3 linked regions of the Caenorhabditis elegans genome follow. The protein of the gene in region 3 interacts with the protein of the main gene of each other region in a pairwise test. Each region holds a gene or a part of one and is shown on either strand. Other genes may lie near its edges.

Region 1 (6,667 bases), on a different chromosome or scaffold from region 3:
AGTTACTAAAAAGGAATACAAATTAAATATTGAAGCTCGTCTAACAGGACTATTACATGAAGCTTCAAATCTAATGTTTGTAGTTTCTATTAACTTTTTAAAAAAACATTCATACTTTTTTGCATCAAGTCACGATTTAACAATGATTTCCCACACATATGTAAAATCATTACAAACATAAATTGTGGGAGAAGCCTAAATACCACAAACCGTACGCGACCATCAGGATTTTTATTTCTGAATAATATGCAATAGAAACAAATTTCCTCGGGAATTATTACCAAGTCTCTGAGTAGCAAAGAAATTTTCTGAAGATGTAATCACGTATGTAAATATGTACAATGTTATCAATCGTTTTCGCTTTTTGTTATCATCAATCACTCTATTTCTCCATCTCTCTGACTAATACAACAAGGTTTACAATAACTGAGAGAAGTAGGTTTTCAGTGATTTTTTAGATGGGTGAAGCTGAATATAAGTACAAAAAACAACAATTATTCTCATTCAGCAAGTTATCAACAGTGTTACGGCCATATCATCTTTCTTAATCCACGTTAGAAACTTTATGAATAAAATCTGAATAATTTCTAAGGTTGATGTAAAAGCTGGCAAAGAAATTGTGGAGAATTTCTGAGTTTCAGAGCATTTTAATAGAGTAAACAATTGTTTTTAATTAATTTAAAGTACGCTTAACTACTGTGAAAGATGTAATTGTATAAAATGAAAAGACCAAACGTTTAGTATATGAGTAATGTTTTCTCCTTGTAATAGTATATTTTTGAACTAAAAAAATATACACTCCGAAATGATAGAGTACCGTAATCAAAAACCCTATGAACAATTTGAAAATACTATGATTTAAAGTTTTGGCAACTTAACAAATTTTTGAAATTTGGAGTTTTCTGATCGCCCTTACATTACCTTACACTCTAATCTACACTGGAAAATTATTTTAAAAATAATTTAAAATAAACTTCGTTTAAACGTCTTTTTTTTTAGTTTTTCAAAAATTTCAAAGTATTGAGTATTCATAGTTCGTACTTTTGACTTATAATAAAATGTATTTTTAATATTCCAAAGGTGTTTTCTTTGATATTCTTGCTATAAATTTCCCCACTGTCGCTACTCCAAATCTAATGTGAACAGTACACATGCTAAAGTAGAAAAATAAAAACCATTTCAAGAAAGTTCAAAATCTCATCAAAACTCAAAAAAAAGGATCGCTCGAGTGTATTTTGATGATTGATTATGGGTCAAGTGGATTTCTCGGCGGAAACGAAGAAAGAGTGGAACAGGATGATGAAAATAAATTTGCAAAGAAAAAATAGAGAGACAGAGCTCTGTTTTTGCAAACAATTTGAATGATTTCACTATAAATTTGTAGTTTTTAAATGAAAGAACAAGAGTAAGCAATGAAGAAGAAGCATAATAATCACATTTGAAACGGAAAGAAAACAGTTTTATGGGCACCATCAAATGACAAAAGAGATAAATAAATGAACGTTCGCATCCCTAATTGGCACTTCTTTTCAGTGTGTGTTTGATCACGTACCGCCTAAAAACGATTGAAATGGGCATTTCCATTTGACTGACGAAGGGATGATATGGGAACTAATATATTTCTATCGACACCTCCTTTTTTGGTTTGATTCATTTTAATGTTTTTTAAAAATAATTTTGAACAAATATAATAATGAAATTACTTTGTTTACGAGGAGATTTTAGCTTTACCGTTTGTTCGCCGTTCAATATGATTTCTTTTTAAATACACGAAACACGGGTGTTCTAGCTTTTGATGTTTTTATTAGGTACAAAATTATAAGTTATGAAAACATGAGAACAAACAAGTAAAATTTGGATTAAATTAAATTATTAGGCTTTTGACATATACACATCGAGCTCCGCATCCAACTCTTCGAGTGTCTTCTTTGGTTGAGCTTCTCTCTTTGGCTTCTTGGCCTTCAATTTCTTTTGAGCTCCAGCCCCTCCTGTTGGTTTTCCTGATTTAACATTCTGCCTTTTTGGTGCTCTTTGAGCTGGTCTTCCATTTGATGGAGCTCTTCTTGGAGCTTCTGGGAACTTGACACGGTTTGCAATATTTGCTGAATCAATGATAGCGAATTTGATCTCCTTTCCGTCGAGTGAGACTCCGGCAAACTTTTGGATGAGACGATCAGCGTGACGTTTTGGGAGAGTCACATCTCCGGTTCCTACTGGTTTTCCGTGCTCGTTGAAGTTCACGGAGACGTTTCGAATTTTGAATTCAGCGAAGAGTTGACGAAGGTCCCCGGAGTGAACGGTGTGGGCCAAGTTTGACAAGTTGATACGTACTTCACGGTTTTCTGGAAATGTTAACCATAACTTAAGAGCAAAATGGCATTTATAACTTACCATTTGCTGGAATAGATCTGTCAACTGTTCTGATTCCTCCACTTTGGCGTCTTGGTTGCGCAGTTGGTCTTCTTGATGGTCCAGCAGTTCCAGTGGAGAATCTCTTTTTAACTCCACCAACTGATGCTCTTTTGATTGGACTTTTCTTTGTTCTTCTGATTCCAGCGGAAAGTGGAGCATCGATAGCAATAGCACGAGCCATTTTGATAGAAGTTCTCTGAAATTTGATTCATAAATAATTGATTGAAGGCAATGAATGTAGAAAGCTGAGATGTAACATTGAAAGAGGGTGAGCAAATGGCAATAAGAGAACTAATATAGTCAATTGACTATTGTTGTACATAAATTAAAATAATGAAATGGAAAAGAGACCAAGTCGGCGGAATGAATGATTGACTCTGTGTGGGATATTCTCTGAGAATGGGGAAATAGGTAAACGCAGCGTTTGGAAGTGAAGACTTTTCAATCGATAGACTAGGTGGATGGAGTATCTGGAGATGGCTACTTGGAACTTCGGAGAAGATGGGAAAGGTCGTTTATCAAATTGGCAGAGATAGTATTATTTTAATTAGAATAGGTAGGTGACATCAAAAAATAAAACACAGAAATTACCAATTTGGGGGAGTTGTTGAAGATTGATTATTAAATTCGTAGTTTCTTTATAAAGTGCTCGATTCTTATCAAGAGGAACTTGGACATCAAAATTTAAAGATTGTAAATTATAAAGTTTAGAAAAATCTAGCCTGTATAATTTTTCTTAGTTTAGCAAAGCTTTAAAAATATATACAAAAGATTGGTAAAATGCGACTTACTTTAGAACTACAGAGAATTTCATATAACTATAATACATTGGAAAAGCAAAAAAAACCATAAATAAATGAAATATGTTATGACCATCTCGGTAAATGAATGATAGAATGAATTAATGCATATAGATCGAGCATCCATTAAAAACAGATCGTTGTTAAAAAGGCGGGACTGGTGCTGTGGAGGAAAGGGTGACGATCTTGGGATTGTTAAGAAAGTTGGCAGATGATGTATCGAATGGGAAAATACGAGTTTTCTAGCACACGCGAATATGTGTAATGTATATCAGTTGAATAGAAATTCAAATTATATTCATGTGGAATTGTATCGATATGTATCCTTTTCAGCATGACTTTTGTACTTTTTTATTCAGAATGACAAAAAAATATTAAAAATTGAAGGAAAGATGCTACATTATGAAATTGATGGTTATATTGGAAAAATATAACTTTCGAAATATTTTACCAATTGAGTCGTAGTAGACTAATTGCCAAATAGTGGGTTTTTTGTAGTTCGGCTTCTAGCAATGAGCAATAAACGTTAAATCAACTGAAAATTACACAAAAACTCGTAAAAGCAACTGGAACTCTTAGTGTTTCATTCGAAATGTTTCGAATGCCACACCCGTACACATTTGAATGAGTGTAAACCAACTGCGCACTCAACAGATGCTATTGTTTGTCTACCAGAGCGCACTTGCGTAGCGTCTAACCAATTGTAAGCAGCTTAATCGATATTATCTATACCTTTATTTTAAATTAAACAAATCTTAAAACAAATTAAAGTGATATGGAACCAGCTTTTTTTAGCAGTGTACCATTATGACATTTTTCAAAATGTAAACCAGAGGATTCGAAAGTGAATGACACAAGAAGCGTTAGTGAGATAGAAGGCAAATCGGTGATATTAAATAGGAAATCTGGGTAAAATATAGAGAGTTAGACTTTCAAATGAAATAATATTAAAATTAAAAGCAAATCATTATAACAATTGATATCATCGTTTCCTGGAGCAATCAGTAGCATAAACATTCATAATCCGAACATCATCAGAATAATGAACTTCATAGAAACGATTTTGATATTCTTCAATATCTTTTTTTCTTTTAATTGTTTCATAATAACCAGATACATCTAGAGGTGAGTAGCGAGAGATTTCAAACGGCGAAATTTGTAACTGTAGACGGGAAATTGAGAAATCATCAATTGCCAAGTCGAATATGATGTCTTCTGAAATTAGAACAAAACATAGTTGTGAAAGAAATTTTTTAATCGAAAAAGTTTCAGAATGGACTCTTTTTAAATGTGGAGAATTTAGTAATACCGAAAACGTGATTTTTTAAAAATTTTTGCTAACATCCGGGTTTGAATTCAATACAAAAAAATGCCAAAATCGAAAAAGCATGTTTTCAAACGATGGATTTTTTATGTCGATTTTTTGTCTTTCTGTTGTAGAATTTAGAAATTTGCGACTATGAAAACAAAAATTCCCTTTACGCTATTCGACTTTTGATGATTTTTTAAAGTTTCGCTTTAAAAAAATTGTGTTTTATATTTTGAAAAACATGTCATGTATATACTTTTAAATTATTTTAACAATAAATTCCTACCAACATTCTCCATGGCTAAACGATAGTGCTCAATACGTGGAAGCCCTCCAAATCCAGTTATGTCGCACCAAATCGTTGTGTGATATACAATCTACAAATGTAAAATAGTTTTTAACGCTTAAAAGCTTTAAATTAATATATGAGTACATAAATAACATTTTTAAAATGCTTACTTCCAAAATGCAGAGCTTCGCAAGCCAATCCAAAACCGTAATAATCTCATTTTCCAGTGGTGGCATTCCAAGTGCTTCATGAAATCTTCGAGCATAAAACTTTGAGAACTCTGTGCCACGTGGAACCACAAACGTAGTATGATACTTGGATTCATCTTCGTTCCAAAAATATTCGGGTGGATAAAAAGCGGCGATATTTTGAACAAGGCGTTGACCACGGGTAGCAGCGTAATTATACATTTGGGAATTGTTCCAAAACTGTGGCATTCCCGGAATATTGAAATAGAGTGTATGAAGAAGAGACGTGTAGTGATTGGAAAAGGCCGTACAATTCGGATCCGGATTGGGCTGGAATTAGGATTTTAAAAAAAGTAAAATACAAACGGAAATGCGCCGTTGAAGAGTACTGGAATTTCAAGATTTTGTTTTTGTTAAATTTTCACCGGTTTTTACATGTTTTCCTGATTTCTTAAAATCCCTGTTTTTTTTTGGTAATTGCGTAATTTTAGTTTTTTAATTAAAACAATTTTCCGAAAAACTAAGAAAATTCCGCAGCGACGAAAGTTTAAAATTACAGTACTTATTAAAGGCACACACCCGTTTTTATTTAACTAAAAATTGTCGTGTCGAGTCGGATATCCCTTTTTTGGTTCAAAAATCGAAAAAAAAATCGGGTAAGTAGAGCTTGTTTTAATTTATGATAAAACAAGGAAACTCACTAAAAATTGTCGAAAATACATGTAAAACCGAAATTCATCGCGATGAATCAAATCTTGCAACTCGAATCGAGTTATTTGACTGAAAATTAAAATTTTATTTTATAAAATTTCAGATTCGCCTCACACTTTCCCGTTCCGCCTTGCCAAATCATACATAAAATTGCAATAAGTTACAATTGTCTTCATTGTTCTTTGAAAAACGAATCGAGTAATTTCATCATTCCTTTCATATCCAGCACCGGCTGTTATTAATTGAATTGAAGTAATTTCAAGAAATCGATCAATTGAAAATTCATCCCAAGGATTTTGATCGAGAAGACTATCATCATAATACGTAGCTCCTGTCAATCGTTGTCTTTGTAAAGGAATTCCAGATATTAAAGGCCAATTGAGATCATCTACTGTTAAATTAGTCACTCCACAGTACTCGTCGAATCTTCTCATTTGTGCACGGAATTTGACATTTCTTCTGAAAACCTAGTTTTTGATCATTTTAGTTTGACTGGATGTGAATTAAAGAATTTAAAACAATTTCAACAAAAAAAAACATTAAAAAATTTAACTTACTTTAATTTTAGTTTCTGAGCTCTCGTTTCTCTGTCAGCTTCTACATCATCTGAACCCGGATCCACCTCCATTACAGTTACAATTGAAATAAATGGAAATCTCTCTTATTTTTACATTGAAATTTCTTGCTGGTCACTTCTTCCAATCCACCGTAGTTAACCGACTGGGTGGTCTACTACCCGTTTCTGGTTTTCTCTGCACTCTCTTCGGAGAGAGTGCAGACAAAATTCTCCGCGTTCGCAGTCCTGGTTCTGTTTCGAGACGTTGACGTCGCCCGACACCACTCCTACAACTGTTCGGACAGCGTCTGCAATTTTCGATTAGTAATATAGTTTTGGTTGTGAATATAATATAAATTGTGAAAAATTGCATTGAGAATTAGGAAAAGAGCATGTGAGAAG
Region 2 (7,548 bases), on a different chromosome or scaffold from region 3:
CAAGAAATATTCAATTCCAAAAATAACAAGAGTTGTGACACCAAAAGAATCTGAAAATATTTGGATCTTAAATGTTTTTGAAAGATCAAACTTACTTATCGGACTATGAAACATACTCTTCACACTTTCTTCAGGATTTTGAAAAAATAAAGAAGCTACTGCAGAATATTCTCCTTTTTTGCACCACATTTGATTGATTTGTGTTGATGTTGCTGTAGGATTCGCTCCTATCGGCTGACAATCGTCAATTGCGAATATTGTGAGGAAAGCAAGAAATCCTGATACCGCGGCAACAAGAAGACATTCGAACAAACGACCCAGTTTGCTGCTCACATATTTTTTACGGAACTCGGTGAGTTTTGTATTTAAATAATTGAATAAAGCTCCAAGACAGCCTCCAATTATTCCAATGAGAAGAAACAAAGGAATTTCCCAAATATTATAATCCTTATTTTCGAAAACTCCGAAATTCGCGAGACCTGTCCATGAGAGCCATCCACTACGTCCATTGAACCAACTGAGAATCCAATTTACAGTGAATGAAGAGATCATTGCAGAGAAAAACATTCTCCATGTCAAAGCTTGATTCCAAAAGCTTGCTCCTTCTTCTAAAGAGAATAGAACTCCTCCGATTGGTGCTCCGAAAGCAGCAGCAACTCCAGCAGCAGCACCAGCAGAAACGAAATCTCTTTTTTCTCGATCATTTCTAAACTCGCGGAAAAGTCCGAAATCGATTCCAAGGGAATAACTTTTTCCCTGTGATATCCCAGCTCCTACAGCAGCTCCAGAATGGATCATAGGACCTTCTTTTCCAGCACAAAGACCACCGCCAACCGAACATGCAACTCCAACTGCTTTTGAAACGAGCGTTTTGAGACGAACAACCTGGAAAAAACGAAAGTTTCAGAAATTTTTGAGCTGGAAATGACACCTCAGGAATCGCAATTCCGTTAAGATAACACTTTATTTGAGGAATTCCAGAACCTCCAGCAATCGGAGCTACATAAATCACAAGGATTGCAGCTATAGTTACGAGAACACAATTATATCCTATCCAAGCTATCATTACGGTCCACATACACCCTGCAGTCGTTCCACGTTGCTCTTCGCCACACTTTGAGAGCACTGAATGTTTCGTTTTCAATAGATTAGTTAGATAAGTATAACTGACAATATTTGAGAATCCAGTTAAATTTGATATCTTTACTGTAGTGTACCATAATATCAATAAATGCAGCGACGAGTCCAGTGAAAACTCCAATCAAAAAGCATACAAACCAACGATTTCGAGAAATTCGCCAAAGAGTTAACTGAAAAGTGACATTGTTACTGTATCTATGAAATCTCAAAACCTGGTGAGATGGTTTCTTTTCAGCATCTCTATAGAGTCGATTCTCAGATATTTCATAGTTCAGACTTTCGTATCTAGCAGACAATGCTTCATGGCTATCCGTTCGACCAACATCATCCAATTGCCTTGAGAATAACAGCTCTTCCTCCTGAAATAACTTGATTTTCAGAAAAAATTGCTGGTTTTTGCCCGCACTAGTCGTCTTCTTTGCCGAGCAACGTGTTCTAGATTCGAGTTTGACATGACTCGTTCTAGCCCCGACACAGGATCTTCATTTGGATCCAGACTGAAAAATATTATTTCCGAGAAGTCAAGTGATATTTAGTCTCTTACCTATTAGAACTTGTTCGCACCCTGTTACGGGATGTCATCTGAAATGTTGAAATAAATCCAACTGAACTTATTGTAGACATAAGAGAAGTAACTAATTTCGATAGACACGCAACATGTTTATTGTTGGATGTGAATAGAATGAGTATGGCGGAGTATTTTATTAAACATGGTGTTTATGGAAGAAGGAATTATAAATTTATAAAATGAAGCAAGGTGTGTAGACAACTACGCAGCTTCTGAGTATCCTTGATTGTGTACGAGTTGATGAAATTAGAAGGCACGGAATCCACGACCACGAGAGTTGACAACCTGATCAGTGACGTATTGGACTGGACGATATTGAACTGGCTGAACCTGAAAAACCAATATATTGGTCACCACAGATTCCTAAGATTTATGTTTCATAATATTAATCCAATTGGTGGCTAGTATTGTAAAACTCAATCATAATCTTTAATTCAATTCTAGCAAATAAAAGTTTGAATACTCACTTGACGAACAACATTGTTTCTCTGAACAGGTGGTCTTGCATTCACATATCTGACGCTTCTCACAACTTGCTGTTGTTGTGGCTGCTGCTGTCTCTGGAAGCGCGGGGGTTGTTGCTGGAAACGAGGTTGCTGTTGCTGGAAGCGTTGTGGCTGGCGTTGGAAACGTTGCTGAGCCACTGGAGTCTGGATTACTCTTTGCACGACCTGCTCATACTGAAAACGAACAATATAATTCTGACACTGGATACTGAATAATAATGAATTTTTACCTGTGGTCTTTGAACTTGAGCGCGTCTTGGAACTTGTTGAACGACTTGACGACGAATGACTGTTGGACGATTATTATTGTTGTTGTTTGTTGGACGGAATCTTCTCGATTGCTGTGATTGAATAATCACATTGCGTCTCTGCTGTGGACGGTTCTGACGAACTTGTTGTTGCGGTGCTCTACGAATCACTTGAGATTGCACAGGAGCAGTGATGATTTGGCGAACAACTTTGACTGGAGCTTGACGAACATGCTGTACGATAGTACGAACAGGAGCCGTTATTGGTCTCTGTTGGATGATTGTTCTCACAGGTTGAATCACTTGGGCAGCAGTGACATTTCGTTTCAATGCAAAATTTCGTCTGGCGGCAAGAGTTGAAGCAGCAACACCCTGAAATCATTTACCTTACCTCCGTGAAAGATTGGAAGAACTCTCGACACGCTGAAGAAGCTGAGGAGAAGTTGCTGTCTGTCTCTCCGGAAGGAACTTCACACAAATTGAGACCATCTGTTCTGATTTTTTGGCAGAAGCCTGGCTTTCTATCAGGTTTTCAATAGTGGATGATCGTATTTCCAACTATTCATCGCGGTTTCAAAAAACACGAAGAACGTCTAGGTTCTATCGCGACACGAGAGGAATAAATCAAACTCTCGACCTGATTTTTAGCCTTTTACTACAACGCTTAATGCGTGTGGTATCCAGATTTCACTTCAAGAATCCATTTTTCAAAGCTCGATATTCAACTATAGAACAAAATCTGGTAAAAACGTACTCCACGCTTACGAACGACTGGAACAGTCGTGATATTGGTTCTTTTGCGAAGGGCATTCTGTAATGTGATGGTTTATTAGAATGAATTATATAAACAAGATTTACCTTGACGAGCTTATTAACCAGCTTCTTGGTGGCAACAGCGCTCAATCCTGCAGCCGCAGCAGGTTTTCCACGGGCACCGAAAACGCGTTTTTGACCTCCAGCTGCACGACGAGCAGCAATTGCTTTCGATTTCTTCAAAACCTTGTTCGCCAAAACAACTTGAGCACTCTTTCTTGGTGGGACTCTGCGGTTGTTTCTTCCGGCATTTCCTGGGCGAGTCTATAAAAATTATTTATTCTTAAAAGTTGCTTATTTTATTTTAAAACTCACGGGTTTGTTTCCAGCTTTGTTGCTAGTAGATGCTCCTGCTGGTGCAGATACTCGCTCGGACTTCACTTTTTTCTGGCCATGCTTGATGATTTCATCCAGAGACATGTTGATTTTTTCAGCCATTTCGATGAACGATATGAAGAATGCGGATAAAACTGAAAATAAACTGTTTTTAGAAAGAAAAGAACAGACAATGAAAAATATAAGACGATATGAGTGTAACAAGATGGTGAATAGAATGAACGAAAATGTGAGAGAGAGAGTGAGGGGGAAAGAGAGTGAGAGAAGAAGAGCAGATGGGAAAGTCGCGTGGCAGAGTACGAACGGCAATTGCGGTTGCGGAGCGGTTATCGATTGATGACTCACAGCGTAGAAGAGCAATTATAACAAAACCAAATTATTCAGTGTTTGGCCTATACGTTGAAAAAAACAAATTCCCGTTTTAAATGCTGTTTCTTTTTTGAAAATAATAAAACTGATGATCGGTGAGCAAACAGATATTACTGCATAGCAGCAGAACCGACCGGTCTGAGTGTGCACTAGACAGCTGTTAATGTTTGCACTGATGTAAAAAAAATTAAAAAAAAAATCGATTTCGGTGGGCAAGGTGGAACATTCAAGTGGGTTTCATAGTGAGCAACGAGAGAATACATAGTTCGTATTGGGGAATTTCATAAATTTAAGGAAAAAACGGATTTTAATTCAATAAATGTCTGAAAAACAGTATTTATAAATATATTTATTCAGCAAAGAAAATCGTTTTTAAAATATCGGTACTTGTTTTTAAATCACGAGACTTCTTGGACGCAAACACCAGAAACGACGGCACATTGCAGACAGTATGCTTGAAGATTTCCTCTACAGTATCCGAGTACTGTAGAGTATATCTTGGTGTCAATTCGCCCATAAAACTGCCAACACACAATACCAAAAGAGGCTAATGACAGAAATTATGAAAACAATGAAAACGTTTGTGAATAAGGATGTGCACTTCTCGACGATCTGTGCTTTTCTGGCAATTTCAGAGTATTTCTCCCGAGAGAAGGCTGCCAATGTGAACGATGATGGGAAAATGAAGCATAACAATAGTTTTATGTGTGCACGTATTTCTCGAATCCATCCCAGGCTGCCATGGACGGAACTCGTGAGCTGTAACAAAAATTATCAAGTAACATGAAATCTCGCTATAGTAAAAGTATTATGTTTCAGAACTGTGTATTTATGTTTTCGTAGAATTTTGACACTTATCAATATAGAATCAAGAATCTTACTTACAAGATGAGCACCCGAAGAAATATAAAATGTAGAAATCTAACCGTTAAATTGACATCCCATTCCATTTGATTAATGATATTCGTCTCATTTGTTCTAACTTTTGAATACTCTTTGATAACATCTTCCAATTCATCTTCCTCATATTGATCCATAATTTCCTGCAACACAAGGCAATCCTCAAATCCACAATTGACACCTTGACCATTGAATGGAACCATTGCATGTGCTGCATCGCCCATCAATACCAATTTGTCGAAGAAGACGTGCTGTGAGCATTGAACACTTATAATTGCCTGCGGTTTGTTTCTGGCAATTGTGTTTCTGATGTGATCTCTAGAATAATATTCGTTCGAAAACAACAAGGAAAAATGAAGCCACTCACTCTCCAAGAATCTTGAAGATTTCATAAAAATTGTTCTTAAAAAACAAAACAGATTCTACGGGACCAACCAAATTAGACTCGAACTCTGAGAACGTGGCGAACATCGAAACTGAAAATTTTGACTTTAGATAGATATAATTCCAATATAAGTCTTACCAGTCAATGACTGATCTTTATTTACAATGGCAACAAGGATAATACCTCTTCTTCTCCAGGAATAATGTGTTCCCAATTTTAGATCACATTGTTGTGTAGAATTTACACTCAGATCAATATAACCGAATTCCGAATACTTTTGACTGAAATTGAAACCTGGAGCCTTGAGAAGGCTTCTTCTAATTGAAGAGTGTGCTCCATCACAAGCCAGAAACAGATCACCATCTACAGTACTCAAATTATCCGAATTCTGTACAATCAGAGATTCACTTTTCAAGTCAAATTTGGTTGCTTTACAATTGAAATGAAATCTGTAATTGTAAAATCTGTTTGCTTAATTAATTGTGATGTTGAACTCACTTAACATTATTATATTTTTCCGCTTCGTTGATCAATATTTGGCTCAGTTCTTGACGATTTATTGTGAGAATGAACTAAAATAGTTTAAATTAATTGTTTTCGATAAAAAATTCTCTATTAGCTCATTGACACTGTGCATTACATTTTGACACCTCATATTTCGGTTAATTTTCAGATATTACAAAATAAAAACGACGAAAATTCATAAATATAAGTTAAGCAATGATGTGTACTCTTGAACTTCTACTTACATCGTCATCATTGAGAACAGGTAGTCTCTTCAGTTTTCCTTTTGTGTCCCCAAAATGAGCAATTTGATCTCGAATTGGCACACCAATATGAATAACTTTTTCCTTCAGACCAATTCTCTTCATTGTACTCATTGCACGAACGCCTAATGCCAAATTAATACTTTTTCCATTTTCCATATGGTTTCCACGTGGATCAAAACGCGACTCGTAGACATCCACAATCCATCCCTTCTGTCCAAAAAAACACGCATTCGCAGATCCAACAAGACCTCCACCAGCTATCACAACTGACGGCATTGTTCAGAAATGAATTATTTAGGAAGAAAAACAAGTAAATTAAATAAATCTTCAGCGTGTCAAATACGTGATTGAATTGTTTTACTTTCTGTAGTCCTTGGTCGACCCCCCAAATATACCATTCTAGTTGTGACGGGGGTTCCGCTCAGGGGTGTGCGGCAAACTTGCCGAATTTGCCGAATTTGCCGAGCACGGCAAATTTCAAAAAAGTAGATTTGCCGAATTGGCCGAGCTCGGCAAATTTCGAAATTTGCCGCACACGTCAAAAATTTTACAGTACAATTTTGATTGATTTTTTCGCCAAAAATTTAGTAAAATGACACAAAATTGAGTTAGTTTTATGCTCAACTAGACATACTACACGGAACTAATTCAGAAACCAGATGTGTGTTACGAATTCGGTAGTTTTGGTGTTCCAAAAAACATCAAAAATTATCAAAATTTTCCGAGTTTGTTAAGCACGGCAAATTTGCCGAATTTGCCGTGCTCGGCAAATATTGAAAAAAGAGAGATGCCGAATTTGCCGAGCTCGGCAAATTTTGAGATTTGCCGCACACCCCTGGTTCCGCTATTGCCACTATGGGACTAGAATAACTCTCATTTACCATCACCTTTTACACAGCGACGGGGAGGCCAAAAGAGCAAGTGGGAAGAATGTAGGTCACAATATAACGACAGACAGGCCGCATAGATGAAACTATAGATAAACAATCATCTGTGCATAGAACCAAACAGCAGTAATGATAATGTAAAGTCGGGAAAAAACTCTTGTAAAAATTTATCATCAGATTTTTTTGAACTTTCTAAAAAACACGCATCATTAAACAATAAAAGCTATAAACCAAGTTTTCCTCTATTCACATAAATACCAGCAGCAGCCCCAATCAAAGCTAATGTAGATGTAGTTGTCATTATTCTTGACAGAATCTTATCTTGCCTTTTTCTTCTTTCAATTACTTCCGAGTATGGAATTCGTGAGAAAGTAACCATAGAGTACAATGGAATCCAGCTTTTTGGAAATATTGAGTTCATGATTGTATCAAACTTTTTACGAAGTTTGTAGGAGCTTTTATTCACAAGATCCTTGAGTTCTTCGTAGTTGTACATTGCAAGATCATTAATGGAATGAGCATCGTTGACTCGACCGTCTGAGTAGACTTTGACTGCTTTGGCTAAAAGTTGAATTACAATTCGCAATTGAATGTTTGTGACTTACCAATATCATTTCCGTACTCCT
Region 3 (7,335 bases):
GATACTGAAGATTGGTGGGGAAAATGTATGGTATGGAAAAGGGGGAAACAATCAATTTATTACACTTTACAACAAAAAAGATCAAGGTGTGGGAACTTATTTCTTGGCGGCGAGAGCAAGCTTGATAAGTCCATCGGTGGAGTGTGACTTTGGACGTTCGAGTGGAAGTCCCATACCTCTGGCCCAGATCAATTGCGAGAGACATCCGAGAGCTCTAGAAACTCCGAAAAGAACAGTGTAGAAGGACATCTCGGTCATTCCAAAGTATTGAAGAAGGACACCGGAGTGGGAGTCCACGTTTGGCCATGGGTTCTTGGCTTTTCCTTGTTCGAGAAGAATTCCTGGAGTGATCTTGTAAAGAGTCGAGACCAGCTTGAAAAGATCATCGTTTGGCAAATGTTTAAGGGCGAATTCACGTTGGCACTCGTATCTTGGATCGGTTTTTCTAAGTACGGCATGTCCATATCCTGGTACAACTTGGCCGCTCTTCAAGTGCTTCCATACCCATTCCTTAAGTTGTTCCTCGGTGTAGTTAAAACCGATTTCTCCAACAATCTTGTTCAAGAAAACGAGAACCTGGAAAAAATTGTTTTTAATAAAATAAGAATAAATTAAAGTTTAGTACCTCTTGGTTAGCCAATCCGTGGAGTGGTCCAGCAAGTCCAGCCATGGCGGCGGAGAAGGAAAGGTATGGATCAGAAAGAGCAGATCCTACAAGATGGGAAGTGTGAGCGGATACATTTCCTCCTTCGTGATCAGAGTGAATAACAAGGTAGAGTCTCATAAGCTCAGCGAAAAGTGGATCATCATATCCAAGCATAGAAGAGAAGTTGGCGGACCAATCTTTCTTTGGATCGATGACACTGACTGCAGATCCATCACGGTACAGGTTGCGATAGATGATAGCGGCAACAGTTGGCAATTTAGCGAGAAGATCCATTGAGTCCTGAAAACTGTTTATGTCAGTCATCCGTTCAAAGAGACAGCTGTTGTTTTTTGATGTTTACCTCATAAGCGTACTCCCAGTAGGAGGCCTTGGCGACTCCACGAGCATAAGCTCCGGCGAATTTGCTTTCATTGTTCAAAGCAGCGATAGCGGCGATGAATTGAGCCATTGGATGGAGGTTATCTGGGAAGTTGTCGAGCATTCGGACAACGTGGGTTGGAAGATCGGCACGGGCGTTCCATTCTTTTGTGATAGCGGCAGTCTGGGCCTCGGATGGAACATCTCCTGTACACAAAAGCCACCAAATGGCTTCTGGAAGCGGCTCTTCTCCTCCCTTTGCTTTTGGAAGAAGCTTTTGGCATTCTGGGATAGAGTATCCACGGAATCTGATTCCCTCCTCTGGGTCAAGAACTGAGGTTTCGGTGACCATTCCCTTCATGCTTCTCATGCCTCCGTAGATCTTGAAAAAGAGACTATGAATTTAAACTTCCTAGTAGTTGCTTACCATGTCAATGTTCACATTTTGAACGACGGTGCTACCGTGCTCTGTGCGGAATGACTTCACTTTAGCGTTGTGGGCTGGGATCTTCTTGGAAAGAACCTCCTTCAAATTGGTGGATCCTTCAGCAGATGTTGAAAGTGGAGCGACTTGACACACAGGGATGACTCCCTTGGTGATAAGTCTGCGAATAGCCATTCCAGAGAGCGACATTTTCTGGTCGGATTAAACCTGGAAATCACGAAAATTTAAAATTGGAAAACTTGCATCGTCATATCAATGTGGCGGGTCACGCAATTAAAAAAAACAGATGAGATTTATCATTTGAGAACTTGAAAATGATGATAAATTTTATTGAAACATTTTAACTACGCTGTGAAGGTGAAACAATTTGCGACCGCGACCCACACTCGTTCAAAAATGAGGACGGGCGGCGCGCAGGCCGCACACTTTTTTCTTTTCTTCTCTAAATCTCGCTCTCGTGCACTGCAGAGAATGAGTGTGGAAAAGAGTTTTGTAGAGGTCAGAGGCATAGAGATTACGCATCTTCTATAGAATTCTATTGATGATTGATGGAACCACGTTGGGGAGAAAACGGACAAAGAACATCATTGGTATTTACTGTTTCTATAAGTGATGGAGGTAATGATAAAACACAGCCGCCCGTTGATGGAGTGAGAGCACATTGTCTTCATAGAAATAGAAACCATAACGCACAAAACTGTGACGTTTCGCACACAATCTTACCACGCGGCAGGCACACAAAGAACAATCACAGTAGAATTGACACGAGGAAAAGTAATGGAGGGAGAGAAAACACAAAGAACGACAAAAATATAATTTCGAGTAGTTTCAACTCTGAATGGCATTATTCAAAAAAATATTTAAAAAGGATATAATCATTCAGACGCTTCATTTTTCAGGAATACGCAATAATATTTTCAATCCGTGAAATCATAGGTGTTGAAATGGATAATCGCCGATTTACAAGCACACTGTTTAGCCTCTTCCGCCGATGAACCATGTCCAGCAAACACTAGCGGCCCGGAATCTGGCATATTCTTCTTCCGTAGCTTTTCCTTCTCGGCAGTAGCCTTCATAATTTCTTCAGTCTGGGTGTGTTCTGCTCCCATTTCCAAATCGTCGGGGTCTGGAGAAACTAGACGCCGGAACGAGATTTCCAATAGCACCTGATGTATTCCCATTGTGCTCACTGATAATACGTTGAAATCCATGCTGTAGTCTGAAAATCTTTTCTTGTCCGAGAGTATATCAATCAGTGCGGAATGCTTGTCTTTAATCTTGGATGCTTGATCCTGAATTTCGAGTAAATGTTCAGCTTCTTCCAAATTTTCAATCACATCAACTGAAAGCAGTAAAATTAAATATTAACTACAATTATTTGGAGGCATACCCATATCATATGATTCCAGAGATTCGATACCGTCTTCCAACGCTTTCCACATCAACCATGCTGCAAGATTCTTTGCGTCCTTCTTCTTACTTCTGATTCCTCTGGTTTTTTGATTGCACATCTGAAATTTTTTATTATTTTCGAGTTATTAATTAGCAGTTCTACCGTGCATATAACCAAGAAACGCTCGGTTCTCTCATTCTTGGAATCTTCATAGATTGGGGCTTGCAGCTTGCTTTTTTGAGATTTTTCCTGCAACTTTCCGACCCAATTCTCGGTTGGCGAAATACCAGGTGGAAATTCAGCACTTGTAGGAATCGAATCATCGTTATCGTTATCCTGAACAGCATCTGAAGTTGATCGTTTCAATTCCTCAGCCTTATCCGATATTTGATCACTGAAAACAATTGAAATATAATTCAATTTGATAAACTTGAAAGCATTACATATTCGAAAGAGCTTCTTCTTTGGTTGTTCCAGGAATGAAAAAGATTTCGTGCTTTCCTTTCTCCACAACCTTGCGTAAATATTCAACAGCAGCCTTTTGTCTCGCAGCTTTCTTGCTTGTTGCCTGGCCTTTTACAGTAATTTCATTCAGAATCAACGTCATCTCGAAGCCTTCAGGAAGTTCGACAGTGCCCCAAGTTGGCGTCTTTTGATAGACAGCCTTAGCAGCCTCTTCTAGTACCATGAGGGGAGTTTTCTTCAGAAACATCTCCAAATCTGTTCTGTTTCTTGGCGTTTTGTTATCCTCCGATCGGGAAGGCTTCATAGGAACATCTGATCCACCGAAAACGCTTTCAAACGTTAGTTTGGTTAAATCCATCTATAAATAATATAATTTGAAACAAAAATAATAGCGGATCTCGTTTAAAGAAACGAAAAGAAAAAAACGTTCAATTTTCAAGTTTTGCGGTAATTTCTCATCAAAGGCAACGAGACCGGTGGTACGGTAACACTTGTTTCAACTGTGCGATTTGCTGTGTACTCCTCTCGGATAACGATTGCTTCAATAAAATTTATTTATTTTAATAAAATATATTTTTCAAAGTGATCTTTAAAGTGTTTTCCTTATTTTACAGTTCATTTTTTTAACTTTGAAATTAATTTTTTTATTTTTTTATTTTTGCAGTGAATGTTTTGGTCGCGAGTTCAGTTCGCGGCACGAAGGAGAGAAGACAGTCGACCGCTTTACCGAAGAATCTTCACAAATCGTCGACTTGACATCGCTCATAAGGGTAAGAACATGATTTAGACAACGATTTATTTAATCGAAACATGACGAATATGTTTTCCAAGTTGTAGTACTCAGGCAACTCAAATCTAATATGAAAATATTAAATAGCAATATTTTCGTAGTTGGGTGATATTTCAAGATAAAATCGCAATATTCCGAGACTTATTCGAAATCTTTTTAGATTGAGCAATCTTTTGAGAATATTTCGCAATATTTTGAGGTTGATTCGCAATATTTCTGAATCTGAAAATATTACGAAAAATTCGTAATATTTTGAGATGACATAGCAATCTTTTGAGATTGGTTCGCAATCTTTCTGAAATCTAAAAATATTACAAAAAAATGTGTAATATTCTAAGATTAATTTGCAATCTTTTTGCAGTCCATAAAGATTACGAAACACCATTTCCAAATTTCCATCGGCTTCACATGATCGTGATATATATACAACAATTATGATTACTGTTCCGTTCTAAATTCTCTTTTCTTCCAAATGATAAAAGACTTTTCAAAGTAAAAAACAGCTACATGAAAATCTATATAATGGAGCATCTCACTGTTAACGGATATTTGATTTTTCGTTGCATATTGTAGAAGGAGTTTTTGCAGAGAAAGCCATAGAATTCACAAATCTGTCCACTCATGTAATTTTTTCTAGATAATTGGCCGGTCATATTACAAATTCAGTCAAACAATCACGAAGATTGGTCGAATATATTAAAGTAGACTTACAACTATTCATTCACGCGTGATGCGTTTGAGATTTTCTGATTTCAATTGAAATCATAAAATATTGTCAACAGCAAGCATGTTCCCAGTATACTCATCATTTTAATCAAATTGTTAGTGAAAAAAAATATTGAAAAAATAAAATGTTTTTCTCTCTTTGACAAAAATTCGGAAAAATTGCACATCTAACTTTTTTAAAAGCATAACAAATAAATCGTTTTTCCACATTCGCTTTCAAAGAAAGTTATCCAATTTCGCTCTGACACTTAGAAAATTTGCGAAAAGTCACTGATTTCCCATCAAAGGTAACGAAAAGGACGTGCGCCCATCAACTATTTACTTAAGCAATAACTAAATCTAGATGCGACACGTACAGGATGGCTCAACAGGTAAGATAATGGTTTATAGACTCAACGACAAGCGACGGACAAGTTCAACTCCCCTCAATGGCAACAAAAGTTCTTCGAGTTATCACAAAACAGTTCTAGAATAGTCGATGAATGCATTTTTAATATTTAGAGACAAATTCGCAATATTTTGAGACAAAATCGCAATATTCTGAGACGAAATCTCAATCTTTGCAGATGAAATCTCAATCTTCGGAGACGAGTTCGCAGTCTTTTGAGACAAATTAGTAATATTTTGAGATAAAACGGAAGTCTTCCTAGAAATTTTCACACTTTCGCAATATTTTGAGATGAAATTGTAATCTTTTGAGACAAAATTGAAATCTATTCGAAATTTTTAGTAATCGTATATGGACGCACTATTTCTCGTTTTTACTACAAAAATATTGCTATTTAATATTTTCATATTAGATTTGAGTTGCCTGAGTAATGCTTTGAAAGATTGATTTTCCAGTTACTCAGGCAACTCAAATCTAATATGAAAATATTAAATAGCAATATTTTTGTAGTAAAAACGAGAAATAGTGCGTCCATATACGATTACTAAAAATTTCGAATAGATTTCAATTTTGTCTCAAAAGATTACAATTTCATCTCAAAATATTGCGAAAGTGTGAAAATTTCTAGGAAGACTTCCGTTTTATCTCAAAATATTACTAATTTGTCTCAAAAGACTGCGAACTCGTCTCCGAAGATTGAGATTTCATCTGCAAAGATTGAGATTTCGTCTCAGAATATTGCGATTTTGTCTCAAAATATTGCGAATTTGTCTCTAAATATTAAAAATGCATTCATCGACTATTCTAGAACTGTTTTGTGATAACTCGAAGAACTTTTGTTGCCATTGAGGGGAGTTGAACTTGTCCGTCGCTTGTCGTTGAGTCTATAAACCATTATCTTACCTGTTGAGCCATCCTGTACGTGTCGCATCTAGATTTAGTTATTGCTTAAGTAAATAGTTGATGGGCGCACGTCCTTTTCGTTACCTTTGATGGGAAATCAGTGACTTTTCGCAAATTTTCTAAGTGTCAGAGCGAAATTGGATAACTTTCTTTGAAAGCGAATGTGGAAAAACGATTTATTTGTTATGCTTTTAAAAAAGTTAGATGTGCAATTTTTCCGAATTTTTGTCAAAGAGAGAAAAACATTTTATTTTTTCAATATTTTTTTTCACTAACAATTTGATTAAAATGATGAGTATACTGGGAACATGCTTGCTGTTGACAATATTTTATGATTTCAATTGAAATCAGAAAATCTCAAACGCATCACGCGTGAATGAATAGTTGTAAGTCTACTTTAATATATTCGACCAATCTTCGTGATTGTTTGACTGAATTTGTAATATGACCGGCCAATTATCTAGAAAAAATTACATGAGTGGACAGATTTGTGAATTCTATGGCTTTCTCTGCAAAAACTCCTTCTACAATATGCAACGAAAAATCAAATATCCGTTAACAGTGAGATGCTCCATTATATAGATTTTCATGTAGCTGTTTTTTACTTTGAAAAGTCTTTTATCATTTGGAAGAAAAGAGAATTTAGAACGGAACAGTAATCATAATTGTTGTATATATATCACGATCATGTAAAGCCGATGGAAATTTGGAAATGGTGTTTTGTAATCTTTATGGACTGCAAAAAGATTGCAAATTAATCTTAGAATATTACACATTTTTTTGTAATATTTTTAGATTTCAGAAAGATTGCGAACCAATCTCAAAAGATTGCTATGTCATCTCAAAATATTACGAATTTTTCGTAATATTTTCAGATTCAGAAATATTGCGAATCAACCTCAAAATATTGCGAAATATTCTCAAAAGATTGCTCAATCTAAAAAGATTTCGAATAAGTCTCGGAATATTGCGATTTTATCTTGAAATATCACCCAACTACGAAAATATTGCTATTTAATATTTTCATATTAGATTTGAGTTGCCTGAGTAATTCTTTTTCTTTTCAGTAATTGTCCGATCCATCCTTGGTTTCCTCGTTTTCAGTACTTCATATTGTATCATCAACGCAGGAATCTACTACAAGTAAAGGATTAAAATCCATTATATTTTATATAACTTTCCATAAAATTCCAGGTTTGTG

Evidence for each region.
Region 1: the proteins of rde-4 (region 3) and aly-1 interact in a two-hybrid assay, tested with the Caenorhabditis elegans proteins (2 studies listed by BioGRID).
Region 2: the proteins of rde-4 (region 3) and pqn-53 interact in a two-hybrid assay, tested with the Caenorhabditis elegans proteins (one study listed by BioGRID).

What each region holds. Positions count from the first base shown.
Region 1 is NC_003282.8:9,104,872-9,111,538, reverse strand, and holds aly-1 (Chromatin target of PRMT1 protein C-terminal domain-containing protein), read right to left. Parts: upstream 2,609-6,667; 5' UTR 2,594-2,608; coding exon 2,392-2,593; intron 2,343-2,391; coding exon 1,873-2,342; 3' UTR 1,786-1,872; downstream 1-1,785. Other genes in the region: Sex-determination protein fem-3, read right to left, coding at 4,195-4,427, 4,808-4,898, 4,981-5,328, 5,700-5,778, 5,824-6,168, 6,267-6,337.
Region 2 is NC_003283.11:12,061,647-12,069,194, forward strand, and holds pqn-53 (Prion-like-(Q/N-rich)-domain-bearing protein), read right to left. Parts: upstream 3,746-7,548; 5' UTR 3,714-3,745; coding exon 3,591-3,713; intron 3,540-3,590; coding exon 3,321-3,539; intron 3,274-3,320; coding exon 3,217-3,273; exon of another isoform or gene 2,835-3,216; coding exon 2,445-2,834; intron 2,389-2,444; coding exon 2,176-2,388; intron 2,039-2,175; coding exon 1,955-2,038; 3' UTR 1,786-1,954; downstream 1-1,785. Other genes in the region: clh-6 (Chloride channel protein), read right to left, coding at 1-50, 96-885, 932-1,125, 1,172-1,310, 1,353-1,499, 1,547-1,637, 1,685-1,722; kmo-2 (FAD-binding domain-containing protein), read right to left, coding at 4,485-4,739, 4,907-5,198, 5,248-5,356, 5,404-5,714, 5,764-5,837, 6,015-6,311; kmo-1 (Kynurenine 3-monooxygenase), read right to left, coding at 7,146-7,483, 7,528-7,548.
Region 3 is NC_003281.10:10,214,960-10,222,294, forward strand, and holds rde-4 (DRBM domain-containing protein), read right to left. Parts: upstream 3,688-7,335; 5' UTR 3,686-3,687; coding exon 3,306-3,685; intron 3,257-3,305; coding exon 3,025-3,256; intron 2,981-3,024; coding exon 2,860-2,980; intron 2,812-2,859; coding exon 2,387-2,811; 3' UTR 2,343-2,386; downstream 1-2,342. Other genes in the region: cts-1 (putative citrate synthase, mitochondrial), read right to left, coding at 97-576, 626-946, 1,008-1,406, 1,452-1,658; cox-14 (Cytochrome c oxidase assembly factor 3), read left to right, coding at 3,995-4,097, 7,202-7,277, 7,329-7,335.